Stegostoma tigrinum: one gene and its partners. The protein of the gene in region 2 purifies or fractionates together with the protein of the main gene of each other region. This does not show direct contact. Links are inferred from orthologs where the notes say so. Each region holds a gene or a part of one and is shown on either strand. Other genes may lie near its edges. The genes, in order: mtf2, eed, aebp2 and phf19.

The links.
Region 1: the proteins of eed (region 2) and mtf2 purify together in Homo sapiens (affinity purification with mass spectrometry; 3 studies listed by BioGRID and IntAct, with this or other methods). This does not show direct contact. The link is inferred for Stegostoma tigrinum from reciprocal best matches to the Homo sapiens genes EED and MTF2.
Region 3: the proteins of eed (region 2) and aebp2 purify together in Homo sapiens (affinity purification with mass spectrometry; 6 studies listed by BioGRID and IntAct, counting the BioPlex papers as one, with this or other methods). This does not show direct contact. The link is inferred for Stegostoma tigrinum from reciprocal best matches to the Homo sapiens genes EED and AEBP2.
Region 4: the proteins of eed (region 2) and phf19 purify together in Homo sapiens (affinity purification with mass spectrometry; 8 studies listed by BioGRID and IntAct, counting the BioPlex papers as one, with this or other methods). This does not show direct contact. The link is inferred for Stegostoma tigrinum from reciprocal best matches to the Homo sapiens genes EED and PHF19.

The regions. Positions count from the first base shown.
Region 1 is NC_081361.1:85,903,905-85,911,973, forward strand, and holds the start of mtf2 (metal-response element-binding transcription factor 2), read right to left. Parts: upstream 3,382-8,069; 5' UTR 3,021-3,381; coding exon 3,014-3,020; intron 1,354-3,013; coding exon 1,127-1,353; intron 823-1,126; exon of another isoform or gene 523-822; intron 1-522. UniProt on the Homo sapiens protein: Polycomb group (PcG) protein that specifically binds histone H3 trimethylated at 'Lys-36' (H3K36me3) and recruits the PRC2 complex, thus enhancing PRC2 H3K27me3 methylation activity.
Region 2 is NC_081359.1:53,541,218-53,549,463, reverse strand, and holds the start of eed (polycomb protein eed), read left to right. Parts: upstream 1-4,705; 5' UTR 4,706-4,808; coding exon 4,809-4,901; intron 4,902-8,246. UniProt on the Homo sapiens protein: Polycomb group (PcG) protein. Component of the PRC2/EED-EZH2 complex, which methylates 'Lys-9' and 'Lys-27' of histone H3, leading to transcriptional repression of the affected target gene.
Region 3 is NC_081378.1:44,624,113-44,632,349, reverse strand, and holds the start of aebp2 (zinc finger protein AEBP2), read right to left. Parts: upstream 3,178-8,237; 5' UTR 3,149-3,177; coding exon 2,670-3,148; intron 1-2,669. UniProt on the Homo sapiens protein: Acts as an accessory subunit for the core Polycomb repressive complex 2 (PRC2), which mediates histone H3K27 (H3K27me3) trimethylation on chromatin leading to transcriptional repression of the affected target gene.
Region 4 is NC_081382.1:31,455,435-31,463,571, forward strand, and holds the start of phf19 (PHD finger protein 19), read right to left. Parts: upstream 3,078-8,137; 5' UTR 2,844-3,077; intron 1-2,843.

The DNA of each region.
Region 1 (8,069 bases), on a different chromosome or scaffold from region 2:
AATTGTGTAGGTTAATACTAAACTAGATTTCTATCACAATACTCTCCATTGCGCTCTTAGAAGACAAAAAAGTGCATTATTTCAATGCTGACATCCTCATTTTTGTACCACAATTCTTTTCAAACTAGCCTAGCATTTCTCCTTTATTAGGTTCATTAGGCATCAGGTACGGAAAGGACATCTCATATCCTCTCCAAAGGCTTAGGAATGGAATAATGGAACACTGTTTAGTGGTTGCAATCAAGATCAAAACCAAAAAAAAACAGAATGGCACAATTTAAAAAACATTTCTAGTTGTAATTACCCACCCTTGAGTGACAATTAACTGTTTGGAACAACAGCTGTTTTACAAAACAGGGGCACAACCACTGATACTATTTACATCATCATGTAAATAAAGCAGGATAGTCAACACCTTCCGATCTAATCTTTGGGTAAATTTTCTTCTCTTGCACAAATACAGTGTTTCAATATTTTGAACTTTAGGATCCAAATAACTGAAATACACCTTTTCTTTATTAGGAGCATTAGATGAAAGAAGGCAAATCAATTTTCTATCAGGGACAGTCTTTGAACCAAACACCCAAGCATCCAGGAAGATCAAAACACTGCAGCTGATAGAAGAAACAGCAACGGGGAATAGGTAAGCTAAGAAAGCAGAAAGGACAACTGGCATCATAAAGAATAACCAAGTACAGAAACAGCACGCTGGATGATGGTACACAATCACAGATCACAATAAGGAGACCAAGGAGCGTGTCAGCTGAATCCAACGGATAGAGTAGAGAACAAGCAACTAACAAACTTTTGTACGTGTTTAGGGTGGAGGTATTTCTTGTGCTCAAATTCTCTCATGTCTGGCCACATTTTGTAAATGCTCAACAAGACTTGTCTACTCGGTGTCGCCAGCTGAATTCCTGTAACGGCTGAAACATTTCTCCGATAATTATTGAAAAGTTTAACACAAAAGTAAATAATATTGTTGGATTTAGCATTTACCCACTGTCCTGCTCAATGCAGGAATAATTTCTTTTACATGACTAACTTATGAGTGCTCCACATTAATCAACAATGCTTCAAAATGGCGTGCTCCCTGCTTTTGCCAAGCTTAAGCATAGTTATTCACCTTTATGACAGTTCCAAGGTAAAATAAGCCATCTGACCACCTGGCTAGGACATCCTGGCCTTCCTCAAACTTGCATACAGGTTTTTTTCCTTTTGATCCATCCTGCAATGACAATCGAACAGAGGACACTGGTGTCTTCTGGTTTCGACGGGAGGGAGATCGCTTGTGGAGAGATGAGTTACCTGCTCCCGTAGTGTCTTTGTCCATCAGGAAAATAGCATCATCAACTGAAATTTAAAGTTCAAAATGAGCCATTCCAGAACAACTCATTTCTGTATTATTTGCCACTGTAAATTACTGATGGTCTGCACAAAGTTACCATATGTCTGATACAACAGTTGCTAAATTTGATCACACTGGGGCCTTTTGAAATTAGCTTAAACGTAACACCCTACAAAGAGTTAAAGTCTTACCAAAAAAAAAACACCCCACCCCAACTGGCTCAACTTATCTCAAGTTACCAATGCCGTACAGATCACAAATTCCATTTCTCAGTCTACGCTCGAGTAGCTAAATCAATTATGCACTACGGAATTAGTACACCAATCAATTTCCCAAATTAGGAAGGGAAATTGTTCTGATTTGTTACATCCATCTAACTTTGCATCTTTTGCAGAAAGAATCAACTGTACCTCCTCATCAAATGATTTAATGGCCTTTCAACACTTGGTACATAAGTTCATTGATAAATATTTGATCAAACAAACAAGGTGAGTTCCAGACGCAAATGACCCAAGAAAAAACACTCCTCCTCAATCTTCCCTTTAAATTTCTACCTATTAACTTCATCCATGCTCCCTAGTTATTGAGCCCTCTACCGACAGAAAAAAGTGCCTTCCTAACCACCCTTCCCATGCCCTTCAGTCTAATACATAACTCTATCATACATCTTTTCAATCTTCTTTACAACTCCAATCTATTCAATTTTTTTTTTGCTCAGATATTCCAACCCAGGCAACGTCTTGGTAAACCTCCTCTGCAGTGCAATCACATCCTTCCTATGTTAGTGACGAGAATTGTATGCAGTACTCCAGTTGTGATCCAGACAGAGCCTTGTACAGTCCCAGCATAATCGCCACACCTCACATTCTGTGGTTCAGCTAATAAGGACAAGAATCTCAGTTGTCGTCTTAAACACATCACCTACCAGTTCAATCTTTAAGGATTACGGATATGCACATCAAGGCCCCTCCAACCTTCAGTACATTCCCGGATCCCATTATTCATAATGTAACCCGTTGACTTGTCGGTCCCCACTAAGTGCATTTCTTTGTTGATTCAATTTGCCACTGCTCTGTCCACCTGACAATTGTTAGTGTCCTCTAGCAGTTTATGGCCATCTTCATCATTATTTACCACCATCAACCGTCATGTCACCCAAAAATGTCTTGATCACACCTCCTGTATCTACGCCCAAATCACTAACTCCTCCCCAGGAGGAGTTCTGCAGAACCTTGATGGAATGACTTCCAATCACAGAAATATCCCTGAACCATCACTCTCTACTTCCTGCCTCTCAGCCAGTGTTAGATCCGTTGTAACACTTTCCCTTAGATCCCACAGGCTCTGTCTTTTGGTTTTAACTAGTCTGATATGAGGGACCTTATCAAAAACCTTGCTGAAATTCCTGCTAATCATATCAAATGTAGCACCTTAAATCGATACTCCAGACCTCTTCAAAAAAATTAAAATTTGTCAATCATGACATTACCTTAGAAAATCCAATTAATCAGACAAAGACAAAGTCTCTCCAAGTGCAGCAATATTTCATACTCCTACTGCTAATAACACCCTAACCTCCAAATGGGATCTGATTTTCTCAACTATGACTCCCACTTTTTTAATAACAGACAATGTGAAAAGACCTCTAATTCTCGAACATCTCACCTGCCATCAGAAAAGAAATTTCAAAATTCTGCCAGGGCTGCCAGTGTCTCCTTTGCTGCCTCCTTCAAAAGGCGAGGAAACATCCCATCCAGGCTTGCAGTTTTATGTACTTAAGACAAATATTTATTAGCAGGTATTTAAAACCTGCTAGTTTACATACAACAATACAGCGCAGAACAGGCCCTTCGGCCCTCAATGTTGCGTCGACATCCTTCCTCTCGCAAGGAGTCCAAAATCGATTGCAGTATTCCGAAAGCAGCTGAACCAACATCCTATATTGGCTGCTAAGTGATCTCCCAACTCCTATACTCAATGCACTGACCGATAAAGGTGAGCACACCAAATGTCTCCTTCATATCCTTTCTACCGGTGGCTGTACTTTGATGGAACTACGAAACTGCACTCCAGCGTCTCTTTATTAAGCAACACTCCCCACAACCTTAAAACCTGCTAGTACTTCCTCTTTCTTTTGATATTAATTTCTCCTAATATTTCACAGTCCCCAACCCGGATATCTATACTGTGTTGTCCTTTTCCACCGTGAAGACTGACAAAATCTTCAGGACTGTGTCCGTGTCTACACAGATTACGCCCAGGGTCCTTCTGGGACCCCTCTTTCCCTGGTTTTCTCTTCGTACGTATACATTTTAAAAACACATTTTGATTTTACTCTACTCACTAATACTTTCTCCTACATTGTCTTTGGTTTCCTAATTTCCTGTTTCGTCTCAACTGCACTTTTCATACTTCTCAAGGGACTTTCCCCTATTGAGCCTTTGATATCTGCCAAAGGCTTTTGATTCTTAATCCCAGCCTTAAATGTCCTCCAGGCTTGGTCTTGCCCTTTGTCTTTACGGTTAACAATCTGCCCTGCACACTAATTTTTTCCTTAAATGCCACTCACTGCTCTGACAGTTTAATTTGCAAGACCAAAAGAAAAAGCAACAAAAGTAGGCCATTCAGCCCCTCAAGTCTGCTCTGTCATTCAAAACAATCATGGCAAATTTGACAGTACTCACACCCACTTTCCTGCCATTCCCCATAACCTTTGATTCTTCTACTGAACAAGAAACTCTCTCAGCATTAAATATACACAAAGACTTTGCCCCCAAACAGCTCTCTGTGGCAAGGAGTTCCAAAGATTCACAACTATTTGACAGAAAAAATTCCTCATCTCAGTTTTAAATTGGCACCTCTTAATTCTGAGACAATGCACTCTGGTCTCCCATGACAAGAAACATCCTTCCAGAACTTCCTGCCAAACCCCTTTGGAATGTGTTTCAATGAAATCACCTTCCATTCTTATAAATTCCAACGAGTAGAGTCCCAACCATTTTAACCTTTACTTCTAAGGCAATCCGCCCATGCCACAGATCAACCTAATGATACTTCTCTAACTGTCCCCAACAAAATATGTCTTCCCTTAAATAAGTGAATTGAAATTGCTCACAGTACTCTAGACGTGGTCTCACCAGTACCTTGTACATTCACAGAAAGAATTCCCTACTTAGATAGTCCAACCCCCTTGAAGTAAGGGCCAACATTCTATTGGCCTTCCTGATTACAGGCTGCACCTGTGCGCCAGCTTTGTGCTTCATGCACAAGGGTCCTCAAGTCCCTTTGTGCTGCAGCTTTTTCCCTTTAATATCCTGGTCTTTTGTTCTCCCTTCCAAAATGAGCCATTTTACACTTTTCCACATTGTACTATTTCGCCAACATTTTCCCCACTTATCTGTATCTCTCTAAACTGTTTATGTTCTCTCACAACCTGACCTTCCACCTATTTTGAGAGCATTACAAATCCGGCTATATTACATTTGCTTCCTCCATTCAAATCATTAATATATATTGCAAAAATGTTGCAGCCCCAACACTGGTACCCATGGAATTCCACTGGTCACAGGTCACCAACGTGAAAAAGAATCTGTTATCTCCACTCACTATTTCCTACCCATTAGCCAATTCTCTATCCATGTCAATATCCTACACACAACACCATAAGCTCTTATCTTACGACTTATTCTTTTGTGAGGTTTCTTGTTGAATGCCCTCTGGAAGTCCAAATAAAATACACTTAAGTTTCCTCTGTTCACTCTCCTGGAGACTTCCTTGAAAACTCTAATTTAGTCAGACACAATCTCCCCCACATAAAGTCAGGTTGATTCTGCTTGATTAAATTATGTTTTTCCAAGTGTTCTGTTTCGTCCTTAAATGATCTACTTCAACAATATATATTAGGCTAATCAGCCTAGTTATCCACTTTTGCTTCCCTTCCTTTTTGAATAGGGGTATCACTGACAGTTTTGCAATCATCTGGTACTTAGCTAGAATCAAAAGCCTTTGGACAATTATAGACAATGCACCCACTATCGCTGTAGCTACCATTTTTAGGATGCAAGTCAATCAGACTAGGGAACATTAGACCTGGACCATCTCCAACACATCCCTCACCTTCCTGGACCTCTCTGTCTCCATCCCAGGCAAGCACCTAGAAACCAATATCCATTTCAAGCCCACCGACTCCCACAACTACTTAGAATACACCTCCTCCCACCCAACTTCCTGCAAAAATTCCATCCCTTATTCCTAATTCCTTCGCCTCCACCACAGCTCCCAGGATGAGGCATTCCACTCCTGTACATCTCAGATGTCCTCATTCTTCAAGGACCCCAACCACACGCGCCCCCCCCCCCGCCCCGCAGTGGTCGAGAATGCCCTCGACCATGTCTTCCACATTTCCCACAACTCATCCCTCACACCCTGTCCCTGCAATAACCACCAAAAGACAATCCCCCTCGTCCTCACACCACCCTACCAACCTCCGGAACAACCACATCATCCTCTGATACTTCCGCCATCTACAATCCAACCCCACCACCCAAGACATTTTTCCATCCCCACCCTTGTCTGCTTTCCGGAGGGACCACTCTCTCCGTGACTCCCTTGTTCGCTCCACACTCCCCTCCAACCCCACCACACCCGGCACTTTCCCGTGCAACCAAAAGAAGTGCTACATTTTCCCCCACACCTCCAACCTCACCTCCATCCCAGGCCCCAACATGACTTTCCACATCAAGCAGATGTTCACCTGCACGTGCCAATGTGGTATACTGCATCCACTGTACCCGTTGTGGCTTCCTCTACATTGGGGAAACCAAGCAGAGGCTTGGGGGACCGCTCTGCAGAACACCTACACTCAGATTGCAATAAAAAACTGCACCCCCCAGTCCAGAACCATTTCAACTCCCCCTCCCATTCCTCAGACGACATATCCATCCTGGGCCTCCCGCAGTGCCACAACAATGCCACCCGAAGGTTGCAGGAACAGCAACTCTTTCCAATTGGGAACCCTGCAGCCCAATAGTATCAATGTGCATTTCACTAGCTTCACAATCTACCCTCCCCCACTGCATCCCCAAAACCAGCCCAGCTCGTCCCCGCCTCCCTAACCTGTTCTTCCTCTCACCTATCCCCTCCTCCCACCTCAGGCCACACCTTCATTTCCTACCTACGAACCTCATCCCGCCCCCTTGACCTGTCTGTCCTCCCCGGACTGACGTATCCCCTCCCTACCTGACGACCTATACTGTCCTCTCCACCTATCTTGGATCCACCTCCCTCCCTCTCCATTTATTTCAGAACTCTCTCCCCATCCCCCTTTTCTGATGAAGGGTCAAGGCCCGAAACGTCTGCTTTCGTGCTCCTAAGATGCTGCTTGGCCTGCTGTGCTCACCCAGCTCCACACTTTGTTATCTTAGCCCCAATTAGTGTGTTTAATACTACTTCTCTAGTGATGAATTTAATCCTGTCATTCCTGTTAATCTTCCCAACTAGTTCACTTTTGATTATTCTATCCTCACTTCATTTTAATTCCACTTATGCTAAACATAGTTGTTTCTGACTCAAGTTTCTCATTTTTGAGCTGAAAATTGAAATCTGTCATGATCACTAATTACCAGGATCTTTTCCTCAGGAGGTCATTTATTAAACCTGCCTCATTACTTATTACCAGATCCAAGATAGCCAGTTCCCTGGTTTGCTCCATGACATATTGCTCTGAGAAAGTATCCCTGGTGCACTCCCTGAATTCGTTGCCATAACATGAAGATTAAAGCTACAAATAATTATTGCTCTCTTTTTATATGCTCTTGTTCTTTATTGGTTTACAGCCTTTCCTACAGTGACTACTGTTTGGGTGTCTGTACACTAACTCTCAATGTCATATTTTCTTTGGCTTTTCCCTCCGCTGAAACAAACTTATCTTCATCCAAGACAAATCATCTCTCAGCTGTCCTCATTTTATCTCTTTTTTTTAAAACACTGCTAACTGACCATTTTTTCCATCCATCCTGTCTTTCCAAAAGGCAAAATATCCCTGAATATTAAGGTCTTGATTTTGATGGCCATTATGGAAACATGAGTTACAAGGATATGAGATCATACAATTTGCACTAAATGCTTCATGCACCATGGAAACACATGGGCAGTCACACATTCTGGCTCACCCTTTTATTTTATGGTAATAATCAACCCCATCACTAACCTACAATTCTGCCTGCTCCTCCATATTTGATTTTATAATTTTTTCATGCTACTGAACCCACATGCCTACTTTTTTAAGTTTAAAGCCCCACCCATAGCCCTGGTTATGCAATTCGCCCGGATTCTGGTCCCAGCATGGTGCCTATTCCATCAGAACAGCCCCTTCCTTCCCCAGAATACTGCCAATATCCCATTAATTCAAACATTTTCCCCACATTAATCTTTGAGCCACGCATTTACCTCTAATCTTTTTTGACCCTATACAAATAAGCTCGTGGGTCAGGCAACAATCCTGAAATTACTACCTTGTTCACAATACATTTTAGCTTTTCCCCCTAGCCCCAGCAGAACCTCCTTCTTTCTATGAATATCGTTGGTACCTATGCAACAACTGGATATTTGCACTCCCATTCCAAGTTCCTCTGCAGCCTAGATAAGATATCCTGAACCCAGGCACCTGGCAAAAAAATACAGCCTTCAGGACTCTCAACACTGGCCACAGAACAGTATCTGT
Region 2 (8,246 bases):
GTACCAAGTTGTAATGCTCTGTGAAGGTCAATGCAAACACGAAGGATCAAATACCCTCCTTCTGCACAGTAACAATTCTGATTCTGTGATTTCTTCAATCCTCTCCAATTTAATATCAGGAATGGCGATATGATCACAAGCAAAAGATGTTTTAGGCAGTGATATCCTGCAGCATTTGCTAAGCAATTACTTATTCACAGATGCACATTTTAGGTTCCACTAGGACCTTGAAGGACAGTCCGGACCGATGACTGACCACACCTCTGGCTGGTCTCAGTGCTGCTCTCCAACTAACTTACCTCTAGTCCCCAGACTAGTCGCCCTGGCACTGCAGATCTGACCGTGGCCAACTCCTGGAATGTAATGATATGGAACCCCTGACCTTAACCAGTTGACTGACCATGTCCAAAACCCAGGACTGAGAAAAGACAGTGCCTTGACAGGTTGTGGTTGCACTCTTGATTAACAGCTGTTCCACTTGACTATGAAGGAACACAGATTCATTTTTGAGATATGGTCATGAGGTTGAAGACATTCAGCGTCTTAGCCACATAAGCTGCTGGCAGATGCTTAGGTGTGAATAGCAACAACTTTGATTTATCACTGCTGGCAACAATGACAAGCTAGCCATCTTTGTGTTACCTTTACTGAATCTTCTATTATCAACATCCTGGGGGTTACCAATGAGCAGAAAATGAAGTGAACTCACCAAATAACTATAGTAGCTACAGTAACAGCTCAGAAGCTAGGAATAATGCAGGGAGTAATTCACCTCCTGGCTCCCTAAGCTTGCATCCCATCTATAAGGCAGAAGTCAGGAATGTGATGAAATATTCTCTGTGTGCCTAAATGAGTGCAGCTCCAACAACACAAGACATTTGACGCCATACAGGACAAAGCATCCCTCTTGATTAACACTATATTCAATTAGTCTCGAATATTGGCTCATGCCAACCTTCATGGAAAAGGTAGTCACTGTTCAAGGAGTGTGCCCTGAAGCGTTAGGAAAGTTAACCAAGGTGAAGGGCTAGAAGTAAAAGAAAAAATTGACATTTGTCTAATTTCTCTCCACTGCATGTTAAAATTGCAACCGATATAGGAATGAGGTGAGATTGGGTAACAATGATATATTAATGCAAATTACCTCTCAACAATTATTAGCAACATTATTGTCTCACCATTAAACATCGGGTGGAAAGGCAGATGTTTTTCCCAACATAAGCATCTCAATTTATGAATGACAGATCTTGTACACCAATTTTATAACTTAAATAAAATTGGCAATTTATCATTCATAATGAAACTTCAGTAGAACACAGATAAATATCAAGATAATCGATGTAATATCTACAATCTAAAGCCCAATCTTCTTTGCTCATAATCTCTACTTGCACACAGCCAGACAGACACAGTTAATGGATAAATTAAAACAGAAAATAAAAAGTTTGTAATTTTCCAGTTCAATAAACAGCTTCCAATGATTGATACTAGGCCTTCAGGAAATTTTTGTACAATATCATTCAGCCAAGTAAAACTATACATCATGCTTAAATTCTGAAGTCACAGGTTAATGCAACCAGTTTCAGCAACTTCTAGAAGTATTACTCATATCTTATGGACTGGAATTTTTTTCTCAGAACCTTCAACAATTTGCTAACTGGACTGAAACTCGGGAATAACTAGAGGGAGAGCGAAGCCAGCAACACCTCCAAAGTTCCAAAAATCATATTGTCTCCTGCCAAAACCCAGTCAGAACAAGTTCTCCCTCGATTGGCTAATTCAACATCCAACCAGCTGCCAGCCCTGAGCATAATAACAGCACACTGTGGCTTTGGCTATAGTGACCTTAGATCAGTAATTATGTTGCATTGTCCTTCCAGGACAGTTCCTAGAAGAAAACATTTACCTATATTCTTTCTCTTTTAAAACGAGCTGTTGTTCAAATTTCAATTCTTAACTTCAAGTCACGGTTTCAAACTGTGAGAAAAGTAAAAGAAAAAAGTGATAGTCTCTACACTCCCAACAATGATAGTCATTGCTCTAGGTCATTAATTGCATTGCAAGGACTGCTAGTTCTGCTTCACAGCTTTTCATTTTGACTGGTACTGGGAAAGGAATTTGCAGCCATTATGTCTTGGAGCTATGACTGCTGTTTCCTGGTTGCTTTCAGCTGCTTTCTGCACTCTGAATATTACTAGTCCACCTTTAATTGTCTGTGCTTCAATTTCAAAATTGAATTGTAACTCCACACTGTCATATTATGAGCTCTGAACTATTGAACTTTATTCCTTTATTGAGTCTTTATTGAATGGGTGGAAAGGTGGATATCATCTTAACGCAACATAGCATTTTTATCCCAAAGAATGTTAAGATTTCTTAGAAGCTATCATGAAACCTCCATACTAACGCAATCCAACATCACAAAGAATTTTGTTCCAAAATATAACTAAAGGTTTGCACAAGAGACAGCTCCTTCCTTCAAAGCTGACACCCAAAAATATTCCAAGTTCACTTATGCATGTTTTAAAATACCAAAGAGTTTCAGTGAAAAATCCACTAAGTAGCAAAAGACACAAAGTGGAAAATTGGGCATAATGTGAGCCAGCATTCATAGCACTCATTGATATCTGAATGGTTTGTTGCTCTGATGTGGTCATTTCAGTTCGTTGGTTGATTTGTTGCACATACTGATGGAAATAGAATGTATTTCATCACACTCCTGATTTGTGCTTTGTAAATGATAAACAGGTTTTGGGGTCTAATGAGTCCTGGACATTATACCTGAAACATGAAAGAGTTCAGTCCTGGTGAGCCCATGAACCTAACCAAATTGCACACATTTAGACTGAGAAACTAACAGGCCAAAGAACCCTGTCCCGCAGGCCCGACCAATCCCCCTCCACCGACACCCTCATCCGCCTAGCTGAACTCGTCCTCACCCTCAACAACTTCTCTTTCGATTCCTCCCACTTCCTACAGACAAAGGCGGTGGCCATGGGCACCCGCATGGGCCCAAGCTATGCCTGCCTGTTTGTAGGTTACGTGGAACAGTCCCTCTTCCGCACCTACAGAGGCCCCAAACCCCACCTCTTCCTCCGTTACATTGATGACTGTGTCGGCGCCGCTTCTTGCTCCCCAGAGGAGCTCGAACAGTTCATCCACTTTACCAACACCTTCCACCCCAACCTCAAGTTCACCTGGGCCATCTCCAACAAATCCCTCACCTTCCTGGACCTCTCAGTCTCCATCTCAGGTAACCAGCTAGAAACTGATGTCCATTTCAAGCCCACTGACTCCCACAGCTACCAAGAATACGCCTCCTCCCACCCACCCTCCTGCAAAAATTCCATCCCCTATTCCCAATTCCTCCGCCTCCACCGCATCTGCTCCCAGGATGAGGCATTCCACTCCTGCACATCAGAGATATCCACGTTCTTCAAGGACCGCAACCTTCCCTGCGCTGTGGTCGAGAACGCCATTGACCGCGTCTCCCACACTTCCCGGAACACATCCCTCACACCCCGCCCCCGCCACAACTGCCCCAAGAGGATCTCCCTCGTTCTCACATACCACCCCACCAACCTCTGGATACAACGCATCATCCTCCGACATTTCCGCCATTTACAATCCGACCCCACCACCCAAGCTATTTTTCCATCCCCACCCTTGTCTGCCTTCCGGAGAGACCGCTCTCTCCGCGACTCCCTTATCCGCTCCACACTCCCCTCCAACCCCACCACACCCGGCACCTTCCCCTGCAACCGCAGGAAGTGCTACAGTTGCCCCCACACCTCCTCCCTCACCCCTATCCCAGGCCCCAAGATGCCCTTCCATATCAAGCAGATGTTCACCTGCACATCTGCCAATGTGGTATATTGTAGCCATTGCACCCGGTGTGGCTTCCTCTACAATGGGGAAACCAAGCGGAGGCTTGGGGACCGCTTTGCAGAACACCTCAGCTCGGTTTGCAACAAACAACTGCACCTCCCAGTCGCGAACCATTTCAACTCCCCTTCCCATTCCTCAGGCGACATGTCCATCATGGGCCTCCTGCAGTGCCACAATGATGCCACCCGAAGGTTGAAGGTACAGCAACTCATATTCCACTTGGGAACCCTGCAGCCCAATGGTATCAATGTGGACTTCACAAGCTTCAAAATCTCCCCTTCCCCCACTGCATCCCAAAACCAGCCCAGTTCTTCCCCTTCCCCCACTGCATCACACAACCAGCCCAGCCTGTCTCTGCTTCCCTAACCTGTTCTTGCTCTCACCCATCCCTTCCTCCCACCCCATGCCGCACCTCCATTTCCTACCTACCACGTCATCCCGCCTCCTTGACCTGTCCATCTTCCCTGGACTGACCTATCCCCTCTTCACCTGTACTCTACCTATCTTGTTTTCTCTCCATTTTCGGTCCGCCTCCCCCTCTCTCCCTATTTATTCCAGTTCCCTCTCCCCATCCCCCTTTTCTGATGAACGGTCTCGGCCCGAAACGTCAGCTTTTGTGCTCCTGAGATGCTGCTTGGCCTGCTGTGTTCATCCAGCTCCACACTTTGTTATCTTGGATTCTCCAGCATCTGCAGTTCCCATTATCACAGGCCAAAGAACCCGACATCATCACGTGAGCTTTGTGCTGCTCACAGAACTGAAACAACCTTAGATAACATTGCTTTTCCAGAAGGTCGGGATAACATTCGAAAACAAGAAAGGCCATCCTCGACGTTCACGTAATCGGATGGGTTTTGTTTTGCGACAGTCGGTAGCGCGCACGTGACTTTGTGACAACGCCAGGCTCCGCTTTGCGGATAATGTCGGAAAGTGCGGCGCGAGGGGACATGCCGACTAAGAGACAGAAATTGAGCGATGAGAACAGTAACCCGGACGTTTCCGGGGATGAAAATGTGAGTGTAGTTAACGGAAAGGTCGCTGCAGCTGTGACCATTTTCTTGTATGCTCCCCTCTGCATCCTCATCTTCGGTAGGGATGAGGAGCAGCCTCCGATGCGGCGGGAAGAACATGGAGAGTGGCAGTCTTTCGTCGGAGCCACGGTGTTGGCTTTCATCCAATCTTGATTAGCGTGACCGGGTTTAGCCTGGTGTGGCGGTGAGTGTTTGGGAGGGTGGGCGGGATTTAAACCCGGACTCACCATAGGTTCTGGGGAGCTGGAATGGACGACGCACCGACATCCCAATAACAAATGGTTGTTATTAGATAGGTCTCTGAGTATCAGGCTCAGTTTTTATATACCTTGCATTCTGATTAGTGGTAACGTGTTGTGGCTTCTAGAGTTGCCCCTACTTGCTATGAACATGTTGTTTCTGCAAACTATTGTAACCAGAATTAGCTTGGCCCAACTTGTTGAACTTGGGTTTTCTTGCTGCATGCGCTTTGACATGGCTACATACTAAGTTGGAAATTTGCTGAGCTGTGGGAAGTTGATGAATTTGGTTATTGCAATGTGATTCTTCGTTGGAGCTAAAATGCAGCTGGAAGAGGGATTATATCACTGACTCTAACTCATTTGGAGTGTCCTGCAGCAGCACTGCTCTGTTGTTGTCTGGGAAGAGTGTTTAAAAATGACATGAGGGCAAGAAGAAGTAGCTGATTGGATGAATATTTATGCTGTTCTTTATCGTTGTTTATAATATATTGACTTTAGTTTGTAAAGGTAATGGTGCAAATGTCCAAAGCAGAAAGGCTTGAGAGTAATTAATATTATTTGCTTTTAAGGGAAACCTAAGGGTTTAATTTTTAGAGGTGTGGCGATAAGCTCAGGCTTGAGGTTATAATGGGGAACCAAGAGATGGTGGATCAATTTAACACCACTTTTTGATAACAATGTGGAGCTGGATGCACACAGCAGGCCAGGCAGCATCAGAGGAGCAGGAATGTTAACGTTTCATGTTAGGACCCTTCTTCAGAAATGTTAGCTTTCCTGCTCCTCTGATGCAGCCTGGCCTGCTGTGTGCGTCCAGCTGCACACTTTGTAATCTCTGATTCTAGCATCTGCAGTTCTTAGTATCTCTCTCACTTTTTCATTCTGTGATTACAAAGAATACAAAATAATCCCCCAAAAAATGTTGGGGAAAACAGGGTGTAGTGAGGAGGGACCAATTGACAGAAATCGCTATTAATAGGTGTTGGGGATATTGAAGAGATTGAAGGCTGATAAATCCTAGGCCACAGTAATCTACATCACAGCATTCGTAAGGTTGTGACCCGAGACGTAGTGGATGCATTGGTCATCTTTCGGAATTCCATAGACTGTGGATTAGTTTCTGTGGATTAGAAAGTAGCTAATATAACCACACTTTTTTAAAAGAAAAGTGGTAGCGAGAAATTGGGGAATTATAGACCTCTCAGCATGACTTCAATAGTTCAGGAATACTAATTAGAGTCCACTATAATGATATAGCAGAACATTCAGAAACCAGTCAGTGTGGATTTACAAAAGGGAAGTTGTGCTTGATAAATCTACTGCAATTATGTAAGGATGTAACTTGTAGAGTTGATAACGGGGAGCCAGTGTTATGTGGTTTACTTAGACTTTCAGAAAGCTTTCAGTAAGGTCATAGAATCTTTACGGTATGGAAAGAGGCATTTTGGCCCATTGAGTCTGCACTCACCCACGAAAGAGCATCCTACCCTTGCCCTATGCCAGTAAGCCCGTATTTACCATGGCTAATCCACCTAGCCTGTATGTCCTAGATTCTACAGGGCAATTTAGCATGGTTGATTCACCTAACAACATGTCTGTCTTTGGACTGTGGGAGGAAACCAGACCACACAGCAGAAACCTGCACAGACGCGGCGACAATGTGTAAACTCCATCTAGACAGTCGCTGAAGGCTGGTATTGAACCCGGGTCCTGGCTCTGAGGCAGCAGCACTAAACACTGAGTTGTCTTGCTGTCTGTAATATATTAGCATGTAAAATTAAAGTACATGGGACTGGGAGTATGTACTGACATGGAGAGGGATCTGGTTGGCAAAGAAGAAATAAGTAGGAATAAATGTCTGTTTCCAAATGGCAGGCACTTATGAGTGTATCTCTCATATCAGTGCTGGGACCCCAATTATTCACAATGTATATTAATGATTTAGATGAAGGCAGTAAATGTAATATCACCAAGTTGCAGATAATACAAAGTTGTATGGGAGGATGAACTGAGAGTGCAGAGATGCTTTGGTGTGATTCAGCCAAGTTGAGTGAGTGGGGAGATGATGGCAGATGTGGTGTAGTATGGATAAGTGTGAGTTTATCCACTTTGGCATAAACAAGAAGCGAACTATTTCATGAATGGTAATAGATTGGGAACGGTGGGTAAGATGCAGTGAGATCTGGGTGTCCTTGTGTGCCAGTTGCAGAATGTGAGCATGCATGTTCAGCAAATAATGAAGATGGAAAATCATATGTTGGCCTTCGTAGTGAGAGGATTCAGGTGTAGGAGTAGGGATGTCTTGCTATAACTCGACAGGGCTTTGGTAAAACCACAGCTGGAGTATTGTGTATGCCTTTAGTCCCATCACTGAATGGATGGCCTCGCTATAGAGGGAGTGTGATTAACAGGTGTTTATCAGGTTCAGTCCTGCCGTCCGAGGAATCACATAACAAGAAACTGAAGGGTCTAGGCCCGTAACGTCAGCCTTGGTGGCCCAGTGATGCTGCTTGGCCTGCTGTGTTCATCCAGCTCTACACCTTGTTATCTCGGATTCTTCAGCATCTGCATTTCCTATTACATCTGGTTAGAATAATATTCACTTTCAGATTTATATAACACTTAGCCTAGAATTCAACTAGTAAACTCTCATTGTTTGCGGTGTATGCATAATTTGCCTCTGGTTGGTTGTTCTTTTGGTGCAGAGCTGATTTTGGTTATATGGTGCTGAGTTGAGTGGTACTTCTGTTCTTTACAGGCTTGACAGATTCTCTGTTAGAATATTACTGCTTTAACATTAGCAAATATGCATTGCAATATAGAAGAACACGAAGTTTAAAATACTGTGTTTCAGTAGGCTTCACTTTAGAATCATTGGTTTTGTTCCTTTTGTTTTTGCTCTTGCATTTGTTAACAAATTCTTTTCATCAATGAAAGATGTGAAAAGCATGCACTCTTTGCAATTCCTCTGCTTCTTGGTTTCATTGTATGATTATTACTTATGAATTTTATCATAGAGTCATAGAGGTCTACAGCTCAGAGGAAAACCCTCCTGGTCCATCAAGTTTGTATTGGTCGAAAGCAACGG
Region 3 (8,237 bases), on a different chromosome or scaffold from region 2:
GCAACCAAAAATGAAATGTGTTTTCAAGGTCGAACTGAAACACTGTATATTATGTGACATTTTACAAGTTTAATGGATGGATTTACAAATTCTGCACCTTCAGACGTTTTAGATGTAAAGAAAGGAAAATGCCAAGCCAGCCATTCTTCTAAAACTCAAGTGTCTTGGATTATTGGCAAGAGAATTGTCTGGTTGTATGCTGGGCCTGAGCAGTTACCTGTATGCCCATCAAAACCCTATCACAAACCTTAGAATATGATTATTTCCACCTCCAAAAACAGACAAGAGACTGGGAAACATTGGGAACTCAAAGCTGCACATGACTGTCCTGTTCCAAAGTACAACTGTTCTCTTTCACACACATCCACTTGGAAGCCATATAATTATGCTGAGCAAAAGTGACACCAAGTAGTGTTTGGTCACATCAACATGACTAATAGTGGTTACCTCACCTTTAGTTAGTCAAAGTACAGTAACAAGTAGCAGCCACAAAGCACTGAGAAACAAAGGGAACATTAAATGTACACAATACCGTTGAACATATTACTAAACTATAGTTGCACACAAGGCTCTGGGGTAAATATCACACCAATTCCTCAATTCTAAAGCTGTCTGCAAATCTAAGTCTTGTATATAATTCTGACTTCAAAGAATATCTTTGAACATTAAAAAGAGCTTTTGAAAATTATCCAATTTGAGCAAGAGCTTGTTCTTTTTATTTCAAAGCTCATGTCACATTCAAATTAAACCAAGACATAAATGCTGGTGTAAAAATTCTCTCGAACAGCATTTTACCTGTTTAGGCAGTTGTAGAGATTCAGCAGCGTGATGTACAAGATCAACAAGTAACATGAAAATATACCTAATATAATTTATTTCAAAATACATACAACTATACCACAAATTGCCATGAATAAACAGTGCTGCTAAATACACATTTTGTCATCTGTCACCTGATAAATTCACTGACTTCTTTACTAATATTAAATCGATTGTAGCTTGATTTTTGATTGCAACAACGTAAACTAATCACTACTGGTAATTTTGGACAGTTTAATTTTATTGCAATCAGCCTTTAAAATGCAAACAAATCTGAAGAATTACTCCTACCATGAGAGATCTGGAAACAAAATATATATCTGCTTATATAACAATGCAATAATTTAAATATATTTCAAAATTTATGATATCAGTCTGTCAGCCTGAAAGAAGTCATTAAGTTCCTCCCAGAATGGTCAATTTTTGCTCATAAGATGGCAAAAGCACAACTTTGTACATTTACCTACACCACAGAAATTACAATCTACAATTACGTTTTACTTACATTGTGCCGTAACAAGAATGATCTGCTCTTACTTTGGATCAAGTTACAACGATTTATGAACAGAATTGATACTAATGCTTTATCAAGTTCCAAGGACAACCAACAGCTTTGAAATCAGTTTAATTCATCTGAACATTCCCCTGGACGGCACCAACCTTCTCAGGACATCCCCAAGTACTTCACGGTCAGATTAATTTGAAACGCTCATATGTAGATTAACTATTCATCAAATTAGTTTTTAATTTGTTTATGAGCTCATGCGGTTATCAGAGGAAGGAGGGATCATTGCTTAGAAACTGGGTGAAGTCACTCCTCTTCAGAGTTCCAGATCTTTTATGCCTTAATTCACATCATCTGAATGCGATCAGTTTTGACAATACAGCTTTCCCACTGATGTGTCACCTTAGATTACATGCTTAATTACTGGTGTGGGGTTTGAGCCCACGACCTTGAGTCAGATCCAAGTTTACCAAATGAGCGAAGCTGACAGAGTCAACTTTTCATATTTAAAACGCGACGCTGAATATCAGTAACTCGGATCCAAAGTGTCAGCTGCGCGAAAACACTATTTTAAAGGCGAGATCTGCCCTATTAAAAGACAAACGTATCGCTAGTAATCACTGCTTTGCATTTCTACGAACCTGACACGATGTTACGGCAAAAGCTGTAGCTTAAAAGGCCGATGCATAAATCACATCTGCGTGGGGATTTGAAACAAACACAATGAGGGCACGTATGATTTATTCTGGACTATGACTAATCTTTTGCTTACTGAATGGCCGACATTAAAAGTCATCGGTATGACCAAGTCAACTGAGGTTACGGTTACACAGAGTTGGGCTTTTCCAGGTGTTTTTTTTTTAACTCGGAAAGCGCCATCTCATAACAAAGATGAGAACACCTCAAAACTCCCGAGAAGGCGTCGTGTAAATTTCACAGAACACTGCCGCCACCACCTCCGCTACCCCAAAAACTCCGATAAAAAGCAGGGCTAAGAGTATGTTTTCTATTTTATTTTATACTCTCCCCCAACAACAAAACCTACAAGTACCCTTTCCGACAAAAGGGCATTAGTTTGAAAGAACGAATACTTTTCGGCAATTGAATTCAAGAGCTGGGGAGACAAAAAAAGGAACGCTTTTGAATCGGGGACAGCTATTTCGGTTCTTTCAGCAGAGTACGGGACAGCAGAAGGGCAAGAGCGAGGGGGTGGGGAAGAGTCTGAATCGCCCGACGGCTGGAAGGGAGACGGTAGATAAGAGAAGAAAGGTCTCCACTGCAGCTTCGTCTGAGAAGCTTGAGCCCCGGGGTAAGACCGGAGAGTGCCTAACCCCCGCTCCCTCACCTGTCCTCTGAGTCCATGCGGCTCAGTGGTTCCCCGTCTGACGAGTTCTCCAGACTCTGCCTCCTGTTACCAGCTGCCACAGCGGCCGCCGCCTCCTCCCGGCCCCGTTGTTGCTGCTGGCCGCACCTGAGGGCCCCGGTGCAGCTTTTGGCCGCTTGTTGCTGCTGTTGAGGAAGGTTGCGGGACGGCCCGGAGTTGGAAGCCCCCGTGGCCCTGTGTCCACTTGGGGAGCCTGAAGCTTGCGGGCCGCCAGCCTCGGGCTCACTCTCCTCCTCGTCCCGCCGCTGCCGGAGTTGTTGTTGCTGTTGCTGCCTCAAAACGGCCTGGGAACGGCTACTACCAATGCCGGCGTTACCAACACCGCCGCACTTGGCTTCCGAGCGGCAGCTCTTACCAGTCCCCCCTGCTGCCACCACCGCCACCTGACTCTGAGTGTCGTTAGCGATGGCGCTGAGGGACGGAGCGGCGGCTGCGGCCATTTCCCCCGCGCGGCTCCAGCCCGGACGGTCACGTGCCACCAGCGCGCCTGCTCAGTAGGAGGGGGCGGGGCCGTGAGCGACGGGGTGGGTGCGAATCTGACTCTATGCGCCTGCGCAGTGCGCGCGTGGGGATGGGGCAAACAGGCAACAGCGCGCCTGCGTGATGATTATGGGCGGGGCGGTAGTCGACCGTTTGTGCCGCTCGTGGATTCGCAGGGATGAGGTGGGAGGTGTTTACTGTGTGTGGGCTACAACTGCAATATCCAAATTGTGGGTACGAATAGAAATTGCTGCAAAATCTCAGAGGTCTATGGAGTGAAGGTAGAGTGTCACACCGTCGCGCAGGTGTCTTAAGGCGAGCTAATAAGTGACAGAAACGTCCCATGGCGCAGAAGCTAACCTAATGATCGTTTTCAGTCCGAATGCAGGCCGTGAAAGCACAGCCTCCAGACCCTTCTGACCTCTTGGGTTTTCAGCAGCAGGTGTCAGAAAGTTACCACAGCGATGATTGACTGGCTTGTCGCGGCAGAAGTGGCGTTTTGCTCCTTCGATGTCGGCTGTTGCCATCAACGTGAAGCAAAATTCACCAAGCCTTGGGGGTTGTTCACGTTCACTTTGTTTTCTCTCCACAGATAGTACTAGACCTGCTGAGTCTTTCCAGAAATTTCAGTTTCTGTTTCTGATTTCCAGCATCCACAGTCCTTGATTTTTGTTTTTCTGTATAGAAAAACAGAACTATGAACATCGGCAAGTTGGGAAGAGCTCTGCAGTGTTTGGAAAACAGCTAAAGTTTAAGCTGTCTGAAGAAGAATCTTACTAGACTGGAAATGTCAACTTTGTTTCTGTCTCCATAGATGTTAATAGGCCTGTTGAATTTTTCAAACATTCCCTTCGTGTGTGTCAGTTAAAGTTTAAACACTATATGTCTATGTGTGCACATATCTGTGTTGTATCCCTTCCAGGTACAGTGCCAATGGTCTGGTCTCTTGCTTGTCTGTGCAACTAACATTAGAAGAAATAAATTCTGGTCATTGTTATATTTGATGTTTCATTCCAACAAGGACCTAGAGTAGGTGATGTAGTCTCTCAAGCCTGCTCTGCCATTCAACAAGGTCATTGTGCATCTGATGGTAACCTCAAACCCAAATTTCCACCTAGCCCTGATAAACTTTCACCCTCTTCATTTAACAAGAATCAATGCACCTCTGCCTTAAATGTATTCAAGGACACTGTTCCCACAACTTTTCAGGAAGGTTCAAACAGACTCCACCCTTGGAGGAGGGGATGAAAAACATTGTGCCTCATCTGTGTTATAAATGGAAAATGCCTTATTTTTAAACAGTAACCTCCAGTTCTGTAAGAAGAAATATCCTATCCACATCCATTCTGAAAACTCTTCAGGGTTTTATAGATATTTTCGGTTCAAAGGTATGATTACTCACTTCTGAAGCAGATGAGATTTGAATCCAGACACTTGGGTCAGAAACAAGGACGCCACCATTGCACCACAAGAACCCTCATTCGGGATCTTGCATGTTTCGATCAAGTTGTCTCTTAGTGGCTTGAACAGAATTTAAACCTGAAGAGTTGAGCTGATGCTTTTTGAAGTTCTCTCAAGACTTGGGGCCCTTACCGAATAAAGAGACCTAGGGGTGCAGGTGTGTGGTTCTTTAAAAGTGGAGTCAGAGGTGAAAAGGTGTTTGGCATGCTTGCCTTCATTGGTCAGAACATGGATTATAGGAGTTCGGATATTATGTTGTTCTAAACTCTAGATACAAGGAGCCTAGGCCTGAAATGTCAGCCTTCCTGCTCCTCTGATGCTGCTTGACCTGCTGTGTTCATCTAGCTCTACACATTGTTATCTTAGATACAAATGTAGCCTGTCCAACCTTTCCTGATAAGACATTTTGGGTAAACCTTCTCTTAAGTGCTTCTAATGCACTTACATCCTTCCTTGAAATAAGCTGACTGATACTGTGCATAATACTGCAAATGCAGTCTCACTGTCTTATATAACAGAAGTGTACCCTTGCAAATTTTGCATCCAATTTTCTTTGCAATAAATTTACAATTCTATCAGCTTTCTTAATTTTTACTTGCTGTGCCTGCATACTAATATTGTGATTCATGCATGAGGACACCCAGAGCCCTCTGCATCCCAGGGTTCTGCAGTCTCTCACCATTCTTATCTTACCAAAATGCAAAAAATTCATGTATTCCCACATTGTACTTTATTCACCAGATCTTGCTGACCCTCAACCTACTTAGATTCCTTTGTGGACCTCCTAATGTCCTCTTTATAGCTTCCTTTACTGTCTGGATTTATTCCATCAGAAGATCGAAGATATAATTTTACAAACCTAAAATATTAACCTTTTTTTTTTTGCAGAGATGCTATTGAAACAGTTTTATACGTTCACTATCTGCACTTTTTGGTCTCTTAAAAAGTAATCAGGGTAGGACAATTAACTGAATGGAAATTATATTGAAAAAAAAATTAAACTGAAAGTGCTGATCAGATTAAATTTTGTATTTATTCTGCCAGCACAGTGAATTAGTGAACCCAGTGCCTTCAAGCAGTTTTAAATATAAATCTGAAACAAAAACAGAAATTGCTGAAGAATCTCAACAAATCTGGCAGCAACTGTGGAGAAAAAGCAGTGACCCTTCTTCCGAGCTATGAAATTGTAAGTACTATGCTGAATGAAGATGGATTGGCTGAGATTGAAAAAGAAAAATACTTGCACTGTGGATGTTAAAAATCTGAAATCAAAAAAAATTATTGGAAATATCCAGCAAGTCAGGCTGTCGATAGAGAAATAAACTTAACTTTTTCAGCTCTGTCACTTTTCATCAGAACTGGAACAAATAACCTTGTTACCACTGAGGGCTTTGGTCAGATCCTGTCTCGAGCACAGAGTCCAGTCTAATTACACTGACGTTTCAAAATCCCTTAGAAAGTGGATGCTGCTGAAGAGGAACAAGCAAGATTTAAAGAAAAGACTTACATTTCCAATTTATGGCACTTTTCCTGACCACCGCACAATTCAAAGCACTTTGCAGCCAATGAAGGATGTTTTTGTAAAGTGTGATTGTTGTAGTGTAGGAAGTGCAACAGCAAATGTGCACATGGCAGCCTCAAACAGCAATGTGATAAAGACCTGGGTCCAATTTTGGGCCCCACACCTCAGAAAGGACATACTAGCCCTGGAACGTGTCCAGTGGAGATTCACACGGATGATCCCTGGAATGATAGGTTTAACGTATGATGAACGGCTAAGGATCCTGGGATTGTACTCATTAGAGTTTAGAAGGTTGAGGGGAGATCTAATAGAAACTTACAAGATAATGTATGGCTTAGAAGGGGTGGACGCTAGGAAGCTGTCTCCGTTAGGCGGGGAGACTAGGACCTGTGGGCACCGCCTTAGAATTAGAGGGGGTAAATTTAAAACTGAAATGAGATGACATTTCTTCAGCCAGAGAGTGGTGGGCTTGGGGAATTCATTGCCAAGAAGTGCAGTGGAGGACGGGATGTTGGATGCCTTCAAGGCAGAGATCGACAAATTCTTGATCTTAGAAGGAATGAAGGGCTACGGGGAGAGTGCAGGGAAGTGGAGTTGAAATGCCCATCAGCCATGATTTAAATGGCGGAGTGGACTTGATGGGCCAAAATGGCCTTACTTTCACTCCTATGTCTTATGGTCTTTATAATTTGTTTTATATGTTGACGGGAAAAATAATGGCTGCGACACGAGGGAGCGATATGGTGAACTGGCAATGAAGTGAGACCCTGTCAAGAACACTGACATAAACAATAAGGTGAGTTCACTGACATTTGGAGAAGTATTGGGGAATAAGAAATAAAAGAAAAAAAAGTCATTTATATAGCATCCTGCATGACCCCAGATATCCCCAGAGAGCTTTGTAGCCAATAAATATACTCATTTTGAGAAGGGTTACTGCTTTTTCTCCACGGTTGCTGCCAGATTTGTTGAGATTCTTCAGCAATTTCTGTACTTTTGAAATGTACTCATTGCACTCCAGTATTTAAGCAGCAGCCACTGAATGAAATAACACATAGTGTAGAGGAAGTTGAGGCCATGAAGGTGAAAGAAACAATCTTGACGACCAGAGATGATGGAGATGGTAACAACAGGGTCATTGTATTAGTAGAGCAGAGGTTGCAGTGTTCAGGCAGCTGCAGTAGTTGCCAGATATGGGAAGACCAATAAGGAGCAAATTACAGAAATGCAGCTCTTGACTTGATCACAAATATGAATTAAAGTTTCAGAGATACGTGATAGAAAAGATGTGAGAATTGATGGTGTGTTAAATGCTGAGAAGGAAATCCTTAGATTACAAGAAAATATAAATGCGTTGAACAGAGGTAAACAGAATTTAAACCTGAAGAGTTGAGCTGATGCTTTTTGAAGTTCTCTCAAGACTAGGGCCCCTTACCGAACAAAGAGACCTAGGGGTGCAGGTGTGTGGTTCTTTAAAAGTGGAGTCAGAGGTGAACAGGTGTTTGGTATGCTTGCCTTCATTGGTCAGAACATGGATTATAGGAGTTCGGATATTATGTTGTGGCTGTACAAGATGTTGGTGAGGTCACCTTTAGAATATTGTGTGCAATTCTGGTCACCCTTCTGTTGAAAAGATATTCTTAAACTTGAGAGGGTGCAGAAAAGATTTACAAGGATGGTGCTGGGACTGGAGGGTTTCAGTTATAGGGAGGGGCTGAATAGGCTCGGACTTTATTTGGTAATAAAGGAGACTGAGGGGTGACCTTATAGAGTTTATAAAATCATGAGGGGCATGGACAGGGTGAATGGCAAATTATTTTTTTCCTAGGATGGTGGAGTCCAAAACTAGAAGGCATAGGTTTAAGATGAGAGGGGAAAGATTTCAAAAGGAACTGAGGTGTGACTTTTTCACAGAGTGTATGGAATGAGCTACCAGAGGAAGTGGTGGAAGTGGGCACAATAAAAGGCATCTGGATTGGTATACTAACAGGAACAGATTAGAGGAATAAGGGCCATGTGCTCGCAAAATAGGACTAGGTCAGATTGGGATGTCTGATTGGCATGAA
Region 4 (8,137 bases), on a different chromosome or scaffold from region 2:
CGTTTACAAGGATCTGGATGGGCACATGAATAGAAACAGCTTGGAGGGATATGGGCCAAATGCAGGCAAATGGGACTAGATTTATTTAAAATATCTGGTTGGCATGGGTTTGAACTGAAGGGTCTGTTTCTATGCTGTATTCCTCTATGAGCAACTCTTACTTAGCAACATAACTCTTTATGAAGGTGCTGCTGGTATCAAGGTACTCAGTAGGAAGGCTATAAATGTTTTAGCGAGGGTGCAGAAACTATTTAGAAGATTGGTTTTAGTTGAACAAATTCAGTTATGTAGAATGGAGAAGCTGGGGTTGGTCTCCTTAAAAAGGCTTGACAGGAGATATAAAGTGATATTTAAAATCATGAGCAGTCTGAGCAGAGTAGCTCAAGAAAAACTGTTCCCGTTGTCAGAAACATTGAAAGCCAGAGAATACAGATTTAAGATGACTGTCAAAAGGACCAAACACAAAATTACGTTTGTTTTAGATGTAGCAAGTGTTCAGAATATGAAATGCACTGTCTAAAAATGTTGATTCAATTGTGGCTTTCAAAAGAGAATCAGATAAGTTCCTGAACAGGAAAGAAGTAACAAGACCACAGGGAAAGAATGGGGGCATTGGAACCAACTAAATTGTTCTTGCAGAGACCCAGCACTATTTTGACAGGCTGAATGGTCTCCTTCTGTATTAAAGTCATTCTAGGATTCTATAAACTCCTTAGATATTTTCAAGAAAGAGTTAGATGTAGTTCTCAGAGAGAAAGAGATGAAAGGATTTGGGAAAAAGCAAGTACTGATTTGAACGAGAGATAATGGGAACTGCAGATGCTGGAGATTCCAAGATAATAAAATGTGAGGCTGGACGAACACAGCAGGCCAAGCAGCATCTCAGTGCTCCTGAGATGCTGCTTGGCCTGCTGTGTTCGTCCAGCCTCACATTTTATTATCTTAGTACTGATTTGAACGATCAGTTACGATCATACTGAACGCAGGCTCGGAGGGCTGAATGGCCTACTCCTGCTCCTACTTTCTATAGACTCATGGAATCCCTACAGTGCAGATAGAGATCTTTTGATCCATGAAGTCTGTGTCAACTCTCCAAAATGCATCCCATTCCAGACCCACACCCCTACCCTAACCATGGTTAATCCACCTTGCCTGGATATGCTAACCTGCATATTGTTAGACTTTGGGAGGAAACCAGAGCACCCAGCAGAAACTCATACAGATATGGGAAGAAGGCTGAAAGTCGGTATAGCCAGTCACCCAAGGCTGACGTCGAACCTGGGTCCCGGGCACTGAGAGGCTGCAGTGCGGCTGTGCCACCATGGTGACCCCCCCCCATCATGGTTACATTTTAAACATATTAGAATTCAGTTATTCTTGAGATTAATTACACTTCTTAATTTTACCAAAAAATATACATTTTAAGTAACAATTTCATACTAAGATAGAATGCTGTTGATTCATCACAGTCATTCATTCATTCTTGCCAATGTTTCAAATACAGCACTTACGCACTAAAATAAAACCAAAATATGCAGATGCTGAAGATCTCAAACAAAAACAGAAATTGCTGGAGAAATACAGCAGATCTGGCAGCATCTATGGAAAGAAAGCAGAATTAATGTTTCGAATCCAGAGACCCTTCAGAACTTCAGTTGAATTTTTCCAGCAATTTCTGTTTTTGTTACAGCAATTGTCCAGTTGGGTTACTTCAAAGTGGTTATCTGTTGACTATTTCACGTGCTGAAAGTTTGATTTCACCTGTTGAGGGCAGATCAGACAGTAGTGAAGCTAATGTCAACCGAGGTGAGTAAGCTTGTCATCTGCTCCTATATTAATGATTGTCTCGACACCAAGCACTTCCTGAGAAAGTCAAAGCGCGCCAATAAACACCCGCCCCCTTGGATCGCAGCAGCCAATGACGTTACACAGAACGCAACCTCCAGTCACGCCCCTGAAGGTTCTGATTGGCCCAAAGTTTACAGTGGCCGTTCTCGAGATTGTGAGTGGTTCAACTCAATGTCAATCAGAGCCGGATCGGTCACTGGCGGCCTCTCTGTGTCCCTGACATTGACAGAAGCGCCGTTACTTCCTTTTCGCAAATTTTATCTCACTCACAGCTAAGAAAGGACCGAGCTCATACATAAAAAATGTACTTTCCACCCAAAACCAACCTTGACACTATCTGAGAACACTTAATCAGATCCTGCTCTAATTCAGTCCGAATTGGTCGGAAACGTTAAGCCAAAAAAAATTCAAAAGATAAAATCGCAAATAAAATGCAACTTGTGCAGAGCTAATTCCAGAGCTACAAGAGTTACATGTCAAACATGGCCGCTTGTCAGGCAACAGTTTTGTGCAAATTTGAAAAATATACAAAAGTGCGTTCATCAATATACATTTAGCAATAGCATTAATTTTTTTATTGAAAAATCAAAAAAATAAAATCCAGATGCGGGAACGGAAGGCTCCTGAACCGATAAATACTTCGGAAGGTTTCTAAATGATCAATTTTAATTCGCATGCTGACACTGTTTGCGTCATCGAGCAAAACTATGTTTTATATTTTTTGCATGGAATTTCAAATGCATCTCTTCAAATCATCATCGAGCGATAGTTTACATTCGGGGGAAAATCGGCTGGAGTTTCAGAGTTTCAGCAAGTCAGTTAATTGCTAAAAAGAATACTTCAGACTGCATTCCAAATCTCCGAACACTTTGATCCGAATCACAGTTAACTTCACATCAAACAGCAAAACACTTTTGTGCATTTTTCAAACTGCTTCCCCGCCTTCTCTCTCTCTCTCCTGTGGCAGGACAAACCTGCTCCAGCTCCAACCTTACCCTTTCTGTCTCTCTCTCTCACACAGACGCACACGTTTCCACTCCACTGCAGTCTTTCTGATGAAAGTGACGCTTTCCCCTTGGATCGACAGAAGTCCTTTCCCAGAGCAATCAGTCAAGCGGGGTCGCCGGTGCTGCTGGGGGGCACAGACACGAAGTGCAATCACACTCACAGCTCCCTGCCTCATCAGCCGCCATTTTTTCTCTTTCCCGCGATTTATTTTCGTGTGCTTATGTGATTAACACATCATCATCATCATCATCATAAGGAAGTTGAAGCGATGAGTGTGTGCGGGCTCCGGGCAACACGCATCCTCAGCACCGCCCAGTGCAAATCCCAACCCACAAGAAGCAACTTCACCGACCCGCAACCTCACCCACAAATCCCAACTGTGCAGAGATGACATTTCACATGAACTTACTGTCGGACAGAAGGGACCAACTTCTAGATTATAAATATGCAATTACATATCAGTAGCAATTCATGAGGCTCGTATGTACGCTTTGGGGAGAGGGATCTTCACCTTTGTTCTTGATGTATTTGCATTCTGAACGACGTCTAGAAAACGGCTGGAATGTGGCATCATCTCTAACACCTTCACGATCGACGCGATGCTTCACGCGGTGTTCGTGTGACAACGGGTCCCAGCCCAAACACTGGGCGCAGTATGTATTTTACGAGGAAGAAAAAAAATCAGGGTTCATTTTACGTAAATGCCCCGATAAATGCGACTTCATGATTCAACATGCACGTGCACTTCATGATGCACTTTGGAATGAACCTTGTATGGTTTGAATGGTATTACTTTGAGTTATTACTCAGTTCGGTAGGATATCAACATACATTTTAACAAATCTTTGACCATATTTGATAAGATGGTTAAGAAAGCATACTAGAAATTTACTTTATAAATAGTGACATTGTGTACGCAATGAGAAAGTCAAATCAAAATTCAAGGATGTGTATGGTTATCCTTTGTAATTTCCTACAGAAACTGAGTCTTTATCCATTTCACCAAGTGTGTTCCAAATTATAACCCCCAATCTGAAAAATAATTCCCATTTCCACTCTGTTTCTTTAGCTGATTCTTTTAAATCTACAATATGTGGCAACTGATCCACTTACCTATGGACACTTTCAAATCACTGGTTTGATTTTGTTTGTTCTTGTCACTTACCAATACAGTGAAAAGTATTGTTTTGCATGCTAACCAGACTAATCATACTTTACAAAAGTACTTCAGGGTAATAGAACAGAATACAGAATGGTTAGGCCTCAGCTGGACATTTATATGCAATTTTACACGCCATTACTTAGGTTGGACGTTAAATCTGGAAGAGGGTATGGAGAAAATATACTAGGCATAGGGTTTTTCAGTTCAATAGAGAGATTGCAAAAGCTGTGACTATTCTCCTTATACGACAGAAGGGAAGACCTAGGAAAGAAAATCCATAAGATAGGTTTGAGGTGAAATGGGAAAAATTTGAAAGGGACCTGAGGGGCAACTTTCTCATGCAGAGGGTGGTGCATATACAGAAGGAGATTCCAGAAGAAGAAAGGCATCTAGATGAGTATATGAATAGGAAGAATTTCGAGAGATATGGGCCAAATGCTGACAAATGGAACTAGTTTAGTTTGGGATATCTGAGCAGCGCGTATGTGTTGGACCAAAGTGTCTGTTTCTGTGCTTTACAACTCTATGACTCTGAAATTGGAGCAAGCAGGAAAAGCCTATTTCTGTTGGTAAGTGGATCAGTAGCCATAGATCATAGATTTAAAAGATTTGGCAGAAGAAGTAGAGTGGAAATGGGAGTGATTTTCAGATTGGGTTTTATATTCTGGAAATTACCTCAAAAAGTGGAGAAAGACTCAGTTTCTGTAGGAAATTACTAAGGATAACTGAGCACATTGTTGAATTGTAAAGATTTTGCAGGTAAAGTCTTGATTTGATTTGATTTTCGCATTGTCACATACTGAGACACAGTGAAATGTATTGTTTTGCATGCCATCCAGGCAAATCAGATCATGCATAAGTACAGCAGAATAATAGAACAGAATGCAGAATATATTGTTACAGCTAGAGAGAAAGTGCAGGGAAAGATCAACTGAATATATGAGAGGCCCATTCAAAAATCTGATAACAGCAGGGAAGAAGATATTCTTCTCTGGGGTGTTTGTTCTTGTCTGTCTGGATAATTCTTCCAGAGAGCCATCAAAAACTAAACAGACTGAACAGCTTAATCGTGCACTATGTCTGTTATTCTGATAAATATGCACTATTTTATATTTTCTACATTTAAGTAATCTTTTGAAAAGACTATCATCCTGTGGAATTATGTTTTTTAATTTCATGTAAAATGAAAATTACATTTTATTTATTGATATTATTCAAAGCTAACAGGAAGGCAGGAAATATTGAAGGTGAGGCTCAATTTTATACACAGGCTTTCAAAATGTAAGTAAATGCATAAAAATGATGTTTGAGATATTAATGATTTTCACAATAATATGGGCCAAACACGGTTAAGTGGGACTAGTCTGATTTGGGAAAGTTGGTCAGCATGGATGAGTTGGACTGAATGGTCTGTTTCTGTGCTGAATGACTGTATGACTCTAATAAAGATCGACATTTCACTGCTTACTTGTTTAACACTTACTTAGTCCAGGCCCTGTAGTTGAAATATTATAGTAAAACTAGACTTTCTATTTAGCAACCTTCGAATCAGTAAAATATTGCAGCTACATGATGATGGAATGAACTTTGATGTTACAATGCAAAGTTTTCTGAAGATTACATAGAAAGACACTATTTTCTGAACTGACACTACTTTGAAATATGAAGAAGCATTTCTTGTTCAGAAATGACAACATCAATTCAAGACTTCCTTTTAATAACCCCATAAACATGAATAAATATTACTTGAAATTTCATTCCAAGCATGATGCAGTCACCCATCAAGATATTGTTATTGATAATTTAAAAATGGAGCTTAAAACAAACCATTTGCAAATTTATTTTTAAAAAATGCTGAGTTCCTTCACTGTATGATATTAAATGAAGACACACAAGTCATTGAATTTTTGATTACAATATGTTTAAGCTGGTGTATCCACCCATGATGTTCAGTAATTTCTCTATGTTAGTGTATTCAGCACTATGCTTGAATCTGAAATAACTCCTTGAAGGCCTGTCACCAAGTCACCCTTTATTTACATGTGCATACTACATGACGCTGACGCAGCTAACTCAGAGCAGGCTCCTGTAGTGAACAGAACCCCTGACACTCTTGTTTATGTCTGTCAGCTAGGATTCCCTGATTGGACCATTTTAACAACCCCAATTAACCATCTAAGTACATCTTCTCACACATAGTATGCTGATATATAGTAATATGTTTTTAACGCTACCCTGTACTCATTGCAGTTGTGTTATGTTTCACAGTCAGAATGTCAGCATACCTTTAACGGATACAATATGTTAATATACCTTCAAAAGACACCTTCATGGTATCATCACTGTATCATGACATATGACAAGGGCATAAAGTCCACATACTCCATCTTAACCTAGATCACTTGAAGCATGATAAACTAATGGAAGCATGCTGTGTAGCTTCATAGCTTAATGTTATGGTGATTAGAGACTGATGTGTCTGTAAATGTAAAAAAAATCAGTGTCAAAATTTTTTTAAAAAGTGATGTCTTAATTCCCAATTAGTGTAAATACAACCCAGGATCAGAAATCTGCAATTTGAAGTATTTTTAATCAATCTGTTCAAGGATGTTATGACAGGTGAGACTTGAACACAGATCATCTGTTCCAAAAGAAGTGACACTACCATTGCACCACAAGCACTCTCAAGCCTGTGACTTCAAACTTACAAACTTGTACTTTTCAAGTTAACATGCATAAAGGACCAGCAACAAGTAAAATAAAGGAAAACAGTGACACAAAAGGTAGAAAAAAGGAGAGAGAAACAAAATCAGTAAATGAGACAAGCAAACATTGCATTGTACTCTTCTTCTAAATAAAATACAATAACCCTCCAAAGGAAAATGAAATGCAAACAATTATGGAATGCATGTCCAATTATACCTTTACTGAAATACAATCATGCAAACAATGTATACAGTTCTATTTTGAAGATTGAGCAACAGATGATTCCAAGAAGAGCTCTGCAAATCATGCTTGCCATTAGCAAGGAGGAGCTTTGCAGAATTAACACGTGATGTTTCCATCAATGGTCAGAAAGATCAAGGAAAGACATGGAAAGGTGTCCAAGATGAAGGCGAGAATTAAATTAAGGAAGAACAGACTCCAACTCATGTCACACAGACAGCAACCACAAGAATCTATTGACCAGTTTGTCAGAAGATGCTGTAGAAAAACAACTTTTCTGGAGAGAGGCATGTGGAATTAGTGACTGCTTCCACACCAGTTATTGTCTTTAGGAAGGATATTTTGGGTAAGAAAAGTGGCATTCATTTGATACATTGCTTGAGGATGGAATTAAGTATGAAGCCATAGTGCAGCCAACATTATTGTTACAATCAGCAAAATGCAACTAAACAACAAAATCTGTAATTGATGCAGTTTTTTCTCATCTACTTAAAAGCTGTCCAACCTTTTGTGATACTTGTGACAGTGGACATGCACATGCAAAGATTATAATTTCTGTATTATTGCTTAAACTGCATGCACATTGATGTAGGGTATATAAAATTAGAGAGATGAATAAGTGGCTTGAGAACTGGTATGGGAGAAATGAGATCCAGTTAATGGACCACTGACAACAGTACTGGGGAAAGTGGTGGCTTTTCTATTGAGTTGGTCAAAACCTGAGCTATGCTGCGGCTAGTGTTCTTGTGAACCACATAACTAGGGAAAGAGAGAGGGTTTTAAACTAAATAGTGGGGCAAAGGATCAAGTGTCAAATTATATGGTGTATCAAGAGTAAGAGCAAGGTAAGAGAAGAAAACAATAATATGGGAAATTAATGTCAGAGAATATTTGCCAGCAAGATGCAGTGGAAAAACAACCTACAGATACACAAAATACACCAACAATCAAAACTAGACTTTGCACAGATAACAAAATAAATGAACTGATGGTGCACATTGGCGTAAATAAATGTGATCTGGTAGTCATTATGGAAACGTGGCTGCAGGACAGCAAGGATTGGGTTCTGCATTTTGAGGACATTTGAGGAAAATAGGAAGCTTGGTAAAAGTAGAAGGATGGTACTATTAATCACAGATGATGCTTGTGCAATAGTTAGACATGACCTTGGTT